Xenopus tropicalis: one gene and its partner. The protein of the gene in region 1 purifies or fractionates together with the protein of each later gene. This does not show direct contact. Links are inferred from orthologs where the notes say so. Each region holds a gene or a part of one and is shown on either strand. Other genes may lie near its edges. The genes, in order: ap1m1 and atg9a.

Region 1 (4,486 bases):
CCTCCTCATATGGACATGTGTAGAGTGGTGACCTGGTTCTCTGAATTCTTCCAGAAAAGAGGTGCTAAGTGCTAAAGCTATAATGCCAGGATGTCTGTTACATCTCTGGGTCCAGGAGTTGAATAGCACATGCAAGCTGACAAACTTGCATGCACCAACTACTGGAGTAGAGAGGGCGTGGTTCTTTGAAAGTTTGGAAACCTACATGGAGACAGTCAACTTAGATTTAGCTGGGGTGTGATTTCAGTTGCTCCTTGATGCTTGAGACCACAATGTACTGCTTAGAAGGGTCTCATCAGTCAGCCCTGCAGGAACTCATGTGGAGGACAAAGAGAGTGCTATCTTTATCTATTAGCTTTTGCTCTCCCATTTACTCTGTGCAAATTCTTCCAAAGAAAGTCACCTTGGCAGCCCTTTCTGGATTCTTCTGCTTTTCTGTGGCAATAAACTTGATTTTTCTCTTTTCCCTGACCCCATCACAGAGTTTTATTTTAACCGATCATAATAAAAAACACAATAATGAAAAGGTAGAAAAGAGTTAATGCTTTGCTTTGCAGAATGGTCTCAGGAACCACTCACCAGGACCCACTGGGACAACTCCCTCTACCATGGCAGGCCAGTCCCACACTGTATATGGCAGGGTTTTAGGAGAGTTTTATGAACATGTATTAGCTAAGACTGACCACAGCAGCACAGATAATAAATACCAGGGCCGGAACTAGGGGTAGGCGGAAGAGGCACCTGTCTAGGGCAGGTACTTCTGTTGCCAACCCTTAGTCCGGGATCTCTTACCCCCACAGTGGATTTCCTGGTAGAGGGGGAAGTGGTGGGGCAAGGTGGCTGGCCAGGTCGCCTATGGGCCACCTCTGATAAATACACTCCAGCTAAAACCAAGACCTGCTAGTAAATAATAATTATGTGAATTATTATGTTTATACAACAGCAATAATCTGTTTGACAAATCAAATGCATATATATGTACATTTATTTATACAGTGCTACAGTATATACAGAGCATATACATTTGTAAAGGATGGGAAGTGTACAATGAGAAATAAACATTTTAATAAATAAAACATACACAGTGACAAACATGAGTCAGTAAACCCTCTTCTTTAAATGAACAGGGCTTGTGCTGAACATACTTTGTATCTTTATTTTTAATTATGTAAAGTCTATGTGGTTTTTTATATATCTTGGGGTAAACAGAGAAACAGAAGCTACTCCATGTTTGGTTCATGCCAGGTAGATAATTTCATTACCAGTATTCAACCCCCTCCCTCGCCCATTGTGTTTTATTCGCAGGAGTCCATCATGCAGGGGAATAATCTGTACATGGGCAATCAAATTATCTCCTTCATGGAACAGAATCAGTTTCCCTGTTTTTGCTGTGTCTTCTCAAGAATGAACAAAAAAACAGATTTTTCATATCATACCAACATGCAAAAAGTACGTTCAGCGCAAGCTTTACTACAAAGGCTTCCTTCCATAAAAGCCAAATGTAGTAGAACGTCCGTGCAATCTGATTCGCGTGAATCAATATGGCCAAGAATAAATAGTAACGCAAGGAATTGTTTCAATCTGTCAGCCGTAAAACAATTAATGGCCTTTCTATAAGACGTCTCACACATTTTTTGTGTGGAGACATGTTTAGACCGTTCACAAATATCGACTATGGAAGGACCCGCTTTTTGACTAAATCCGCCATCTTAGTAAGGGAATGTTAAGTCTCTATGACAGGGCTAACCGGAAGTTACATTGCGTTTCCTCTCTGAGCGGACCGCTATCGAGGTGGATAACGGGGATGGTATTGTGAGAGGACTGAGGATAACGAAGCTTTGGGCTAGTGGGCAGCAGCTTGGCTTGCCTTTGCAGGACTATCTTCGGCCGTAAGGATGTCGGCTAGCGCAGTATATGTGCTAGACCTGAAAGGGAAGGTGAGCGTTCGGATAATGAATGCGGGCAGGGCTGGTCACCAAGAGCGGGGCTGGCAGGGCCATGTTGTAGTGTTAGGGTGCCGAATAGAACGTTTCTGATCTGTATGAGCAAGGCGGATGAAATGAAGCAATATTAGGACAATACAGCATTATTTCTTTGAATATGACAGATTGTGTATGTGTTTCATCATTGAAGGTCGCTGAATTCGATTGTAGCTAGCCAGGCCCTTCTCAGAGTGGCATGATTTCTCTTCCGATTAGATGCATGTCTGACCAAACCTTATAAATGTGGTATTCGTATTGTACATCGCCACCACCCAATACGTTCCACTCCCTGTATGAGATGCTCTGCCTGCTGCTCGTTTGGCCGGCAGCTGCCACTTCTATGTTACTGAGCCGGAGTTAATAACACTGTGTGAGCGCAGCAGCAGGTGCCCCTGTGTGCGATTTACTTGTGTGCCAAACCTTACCTACATGTGAAAGGACTGTGTGAAGGTCAGAAGCTAAGGATTGCCTGAAATGTTACTCATTAGTGAAATAGCCATGGGATCTGTCTGAGCAGTTTTTATTATAAATCAGTAGTACAGAAAACCCTGGCACAGATCTGTTCATTAAATATCTATGTGTACATCACTATCACTTCCTCAGATCATTGGTTTTCAGACATTTTAAGCTTAACAAGAGCCTCGTGGGGATCCAGATCCAGATATAGGAAAAAATTATCAGTCGCACAGCCATAGTGTAGGAGAGCAACTCTTACCCCAAGTGGCCTTAAAGATTGGCTTTCTGCTGTACCTATGACAGAAAGTAGCATTCTCCCTAGATCTTACCTGATTTATGTTTATCTAACTACTTTGTGTCTGTGAAACACATCCCTGCAATACTCCAGGTTCAGCATTTTGGGTTAAGCATTTTTATCACTCAACATATTTTTCTCTTGGTTATTATTAACCAAATCCAAGCTGTTAGGGTAAACTCCAGGAGTGCTTATGATCAGTTTTTGTGGGTCAGATTCTGTCTGACTTAACAGCACAAGAGTTTGTTGGATCTTACAAAATCTGATCTCCATCAGTTCTAATTTAATTTTGGATCAGATATAGTGAAGTTTAGCCCGTAGAGCACAAAAAAGTAAAAAAAATGATGGGGGGAGGTGCCTAGACATTCCCAGAAATTACAACCTATAACCTTGGATCCAAAGACTACTTTATATCCACATTTGCTGTGTTTCATCTAAATGGTACTGGGACCTGTTTGAACAGATTTATTTTTTAGAAAATGGATTAAAGCTTGTTGTGGTTTTTTGAACAGGACTGACAGGAATGTGTTCTATAAATCCACAGTTTACATATTTATTGCCTACCTTTTTCAAATGTTTTATTTTTGTTTATTATAAACCACTTAAAAATACTTGTATATGCTATCTTTCTGTTATGGATGGTACACTGATATTTGTATTATACAAATAACTGCAACTGGGTTTGTCTTAAAGGAGAAGGAAAGGCTAATAAAGAGTTAATCTCAAGCTGCAGGCATACCTTCAGTTCTCTCAATAGTGCCCCTAAGTCTCCCCATATTTCACCTGTTCAGATGATCAGAAGCTAAACAGGAAGAAAAAACACTGAGCTGTGTAAAGTTCCCATAATGCCTCACTCCTGCACAGACACCCAGACCAAGTGAACATGCTCAGTTAGTAAGACTATGAGTCAGCTTCCTGTTGATTGGCTCAGATCCACATTCCTAAGGGGGGGGTGAGTTCTTAGCATTCTTGAGGGAGGAGGGGAGCAGGGGAGCAGCAGAGAGGAGAGAGCTGAAAGCTGTGTGTCTCTGGCAGAGGAAAACAGACACAGCTAATCTTTTTACAGATAAGTCAGTATAGTGTTTCTGTGAGTGTTTATTGCTGTATTTACATAGACATTTCTGATAAAGCTTCTGGTAAACCTTTTTTTCTGTCTTAAAATGACTCTAAACAACCCCCAGAATAACTTACCTTAGTCCCTGCATTCAGTCTGATCTGGTTTCTGATTTATAAGTTGAAATCTCCAGCTCTTTTCCTCTTCTTCCTGGTACAGCATGAAGCCCTGCCTCTCTTCCTGTTCAGCTCTCTATAGTGGAAGAGGGCAGCTTTCTGGGAATGCACAGTAAGTCAGGCAAGTTATGTATGGGAACTGAAAAAAAACTGCTGCTGCACACTGGCTTCTGCTTCTCTGTACATTCCCAGAAAGCTTCTTCTATGTCAGGCTTACTACTTCTTTAAATGAGTAGGTCACGTTTAAATGACCCTTTCATATGATGCAGTGATGTTCTAAGATAATTTGCTGAGTGCCTTTATTTTTATTTTTTGGTCAAGCAGCTTTCCAGATAGGAATTACAGCAGCTGTCTGTTTGTTAGGTTCTAGTTTACCCTAACAACCAGGCAATGATTTCAGTAAGAGACCTGAAGATGAATAGTTAAGGGCCCGAAGAGAAAGATAAGTAATAAAAAGTAACTAAAATTGTAGACTCACAGGGGATGTTGCAGTAAATGACCCTATTTTAAGCTGGAAAGAGGC
Region 2 (4,395 bases), on another chromosome or scaffold:
CTTCGGACTGCTGCTTACAATGGGGATCAGATAGGATCTGTGCCACTGTGACAGAATGCTCTGTTATACAGATAGCTAGAATCTCAGCCATAAAGCAGGGCAGGACTGCTGCTTACAATGGGGGGATCAGATAGGATCTGTGCCACTGTGACAGAATGCTCTGTTATACAGATAGCTAGAATCTCAGCCATAAAGCAGGGCAGGACTGCTGCTTACAATGGGGGGATCAGATAGGATCTGTGCCACTGTGACAGAATGCTCTGTTATACAGATAGCTAGAATCTCAGCCATAAAGCAGGGCAGGACTGCTGCTTACAATGGGGGGATCAGATAGGATCTGTGCCACTGTGACAGAATGCTCTGTTATACAGATAGCTAGAATCTCAGCCATGAAGCAGGGCAGGACTGCTGCTTACAATGGAGGGATCAGATAGGATCTGTGCCACTGTGACAGAATGCTCTGTTATACAGATAGCTAGAATCTCAGCCATAAAGCAGGGCAGGACTGCTGCTTACAATGGGGGGATCAGATAGGATCTGTGCCACTGTGACAGAATGCTCTGTTATACAGATAGCTAGAATCTCAGCCATAAAGCAGGGCAGGACTGCTGCTTACAATGGGGGGATTAGATAGGATCTGTGCCACTGTGACAGAATGCTCTGTTATACAGATAGCTAGAATCTCAGCCATAAAGCAGGGCAGGGCTGCTGCTTACAATGGGGGGATCAGATAGGATCTGTGCCACTGTGACAGAATGCTCTGTTATACAGATAGCTAGAATCTCAGCCATAAAGCAGGGCAGGACTGCTGCTTACAATGGGGGGATCAGATAGGATCTGTGCCACTGTGACAGAATGCTCTGTTATACAGATAGCTAGAATCTCAGCCATAAAGCAGGGCAGGACTGCTGAATATAATGGCTCCCACACAGACTATTCAGCCCACACTCCCATTAGAGCAGCCCTGACTAGAGAATGACACATTAGATGTACCTGCCCTGTGTGCCCAACCATGTGGGGATGTCCCATAGTTACAGTAACTGACTAAGGGCCCCAAGTTGTTTCCCTAAACATCTGTTTAATGAGAGAATTTTTTCAATTGGCAGAAAATCGCTGAAAGTTATTTCACTGGAATAAGAAGAATACAGAAGAGAAAAGGCCAATACAGACAGTACCACAGCGCTTTCAAACCAATCCAATACCACTGACATGTGCCAACTATACCCCTCACGCATTACCCATGTGCCACACACATTGTCACTTATCAGTGCCAGTCTCACCCTTCCATGCTGCCCACACTTTGCTGACTTCTCACTCCACTTCCGCGTCTGTCGTCACTTCCCTCAGTTCTCCCTTCGACTTACAGCAACACTTGTTTCTCAACCTGACTCAAAACAAACCGCGGCTCCGCCCCGCCTCCCAGGCATCTGATTGGATGTCCAGTTGGCCGCTCCTCTTGCGATTCGCTCGAACACCGCCCAGTGGGCGGAACCTCTTTGCTGATTGGTTTATGCTCCTGTCAGGGCTCCTGAATGACTTGCCGTGGCTGCCGTGACTGGGCTAGAGGCGCGGCACTAAGGGTCGCTGTACCCCGGTAACCGAGACCGGACAAGAAACGTCACTTGCTGACACTGTCGGGTAAATAAAGGTTGGTGGGAAATAAGGGGAGAGTCTCGTATTGGTTCAGTGAGAGAGAAGGGTATGGCCCGGCTGGGCTGTATATGCTGTATTCACATATATATCTGTTATTGCTATAATACTGTGTGTGTGTGTGTGTGTGTGGTACATATACCTGTAGGGACCCATAGGGTTAAGTTACCTGTCACTCCAATCATAGATTCCTGGGGTGCTCTATATCCTACATTACATGGGCATATACCTGTCAGTAGCATAACAGACATCCATGGTTAGGTGATATATACATACTGTATTATAGGTACACAGGCTTGTTATTGAAATAATATATAGCCCTATGGTGCTGTATATACTATATTATATAGGTATGGGACCTGTTATCCAAAATGCTTGGGACCTGGGGTTTTCCAGATAAGGGATCTTTCTGTAATTTGGATCTCCATAACTTAAGTCTGCTAGAAATCATTTAAATGTTGAATAAACCCAATAGGGCTGTTCTGCCCCCAATAAGGGGTAATAATATCTTAGTTGGGATCAAGTACAGGTACTGTTTTATTATTACAGAGAAAAGGGAATCATTTAACCATTAAATAAACCCAATAGGGCTGTTCTGCCCCCAATAAGGGGTAATTATATCTTAGTTGGGATCAAGTACAGGTACTGTTTTATTATTACAGAGAAAAGGGAATCATTTAACCATTAAATAAACCCAATAGGGCTGTTCTGCCCCAATAAGGGGTAATTATATCTTAGTTGGGATCAAGTACAGGTACTGTTTTATTATTACAGAGAAAAGGGAATCATTTAACCATTAAATAAACCCAATAGGGCTGTTCTGCCCCCAATAAGGGGTAATTATATCTTAGTTGGGATCAAGTACAGGTACTGTTTTATTATTACAGAGAAAAGGGAATCATTTAACCATGAAATAAACCCAATAGGGCTGTTCTGCCCCCAATAAGGGGTAATTATATCTTAGTTGGGATCAAGTACAGGTACTGTTTTATTATTACAGAGAAAAGGGAATCATTTAACCATGAAATAAACCCAATAGGGCTGTTCTGCCCCAATAAGGGGTAATTATATCTTAGTTGGGATCAAGTACAGGTACTGTTTTATTATTACAGAGAAAAGGGAATCATTTAACCATTAAATAAACCCAATAGGGCTGTTCTGCCCCCAATAAGGGGTAATTATATCTTAGTTGGGATCAAGTACAGATACTGTTTTATTATTACAGAGAAAAGGGAATCATTTAACCATTAAATAAACCCAATAGGGCTGTTCTGCCCCCAATAAGGGGTAATTATATCTTAGTTGGGATCAAATACAGGTACTGTTTTATTATTACAGAGAAAAAGGAAATAATTTTAAAAAATTAGAATTATTTGCTTATAATGGAGTCTATGGGAGATGGCCATTCCGTAATTCAGAACTTTCTGGATAACGGGTTTCCGGATAAGGGATCCCATACCTGTATATAAATATACCTGTCAGTAGAATAATAGACATCCATTAGGTGCTATGCATACTATATTATATGTACACATGCTTTTTATTGAAATAATATAGAGCCCTATTGTGCTATATATACTATATTATATGTACTTATGCCTGTCACTAGAGTAGTACAAACCAATTAGGTGCCATATATATATATTATATGTACATATACCAATAGAATAATGTCAGTCCCTATGGTGCTGCTTATAATAAATGATGCACCTTAATATATTAATAATAAAATAAACAAATGTGAGAGTTCTGTTACACACACCCGTATATTTCTATATATAAATGCATGTATGTGAAACTGACGAGCAGACAAAGGTTAATCTGTTGTTTCAGTGTTTGCAGTGGCCTTGTGTAACCGTTGCTTTCGTTTTCTCCCCAGCAGAGAAGCCACGGCTGAGAGAGGTGCAGCCACTCAGGGTGATATAATAAAGAGAGTAATATGAGAAGCAGGGCTGTTAGAGAGCAGCGGTGAAGGTTCCAGACAGGCCGATCACCTTATGGTGAGTATTAATGGTCAGAGGGTGCCCTGCCTGCCCCGTCCAACTCCCAGCACAACCCCCTGCCTGCCCCATCCAACTCCCAGCACAACCCCCTGCCTGCCCCGTCCAACTCCCAGCACAACCCCCTGCCTGCCCCGTCCAACTCCCAGCACAACCCCCTGCCTGCCCCGTCCAACTCCCAGCACAACCCCCTGCCTGCCCCGTCCAACTCCCAGCACAACCCCCTGCCTGCCCCGTCCAACTCCCAGCACAACCCCCTGCCTGCCCCGTCCAACTCCCAGCACACCCCCTGCCTGCCCCGTCCAACTCCCAGCACACCCCCCTGCCTGCCCCGTCCAACTCCCAGCACAACCCCCTGCCTACCCCATTCAACTCCCAGCACAACCCCCTGCCTGCCCCGTCCAACTCCCAGCACAACCCCCTGCCTACCCTGTCCAACTCCCAGCACACCCCCCTGCCTACCCCGTCCAACTCCCAGCACAACCCCCTGCCTACCCTGTCCAACTCCCAGCACAACCCCCTGCCTACCCCGTCCAACTCCCAGCACAACCCCCTGCCTACCCCGTCCAACTCCCAGCACAACCCCCTGCCTACCCCATTCAACTCCCAGCACAACCCCCTGCCTGCCCCGTCCAACTCCCACCCCCAGGATTTGGAACAACTGCTGGGGCTGCTGCTGGCGGAGCAGGACCATGTGGGTGGTTAAGACAGTAGAACATAACGACAGTTTACAAATTCAGCATTG

Evidence for each region.
Region 2: the proteins of ap1m1 (region 1) and atg9a purify together in Homo sapiens (affinity purification with western blotting, with the first as the bait; 3 studies listed by BioGRID). This does not show direct contact. The link is inferred for Xenopus tropicalis from reciprocal best matches to the Homo sapiens genes AP1M1 and ATG9A.

What each region holds. Positions count from the first base shown.
Region 1 is NC_030677.2:98,837,790-98,842,275, forward strand, and holds the start of ap1m1 (AP-1 complex subunit mu-1), read left to right. Parts: upstream 1-1,662; 5' UTR 1,663-1,895; coding exon 1,896-1,937; intron 1,938-4,486. UniProt on the Homo sapiens protein: Subunit of clathrin-associated adaptor protein complex 1 that plays a role in protein sorting in the trans-Golgi network (TGN) and endosomes.
Region 2 is NC_030685.2:83,969,028-83,973,422, forward strand, and holds the start of atg9a (autophagy-related protein 9A), read left to right. Parts: upstream 1-1,507; 5' UTR 1,508-1,638; exon of another isoform or gene 1,639-1,648; intron 1,649-3,529; exon of another isoform or gene 3,530-3,532; 5' UTR 3,533-3,650; intron 3,651-4,395. Other genes in the region: ankzf1 (ankyrin repeat and zinc finger domain-containing protein 1), read right to left, coding at 1,281-1,288. UniProt on the Homo sapiens protein: Phospholipid scramblase involved in autophagy by mediating autophagosomal membrane expansion. Cycles between the preautophagosomal structure/phagophore assembly site (PAS) and the cytoplasmic vesicle pool and supplies membrane for the growing autophagosome.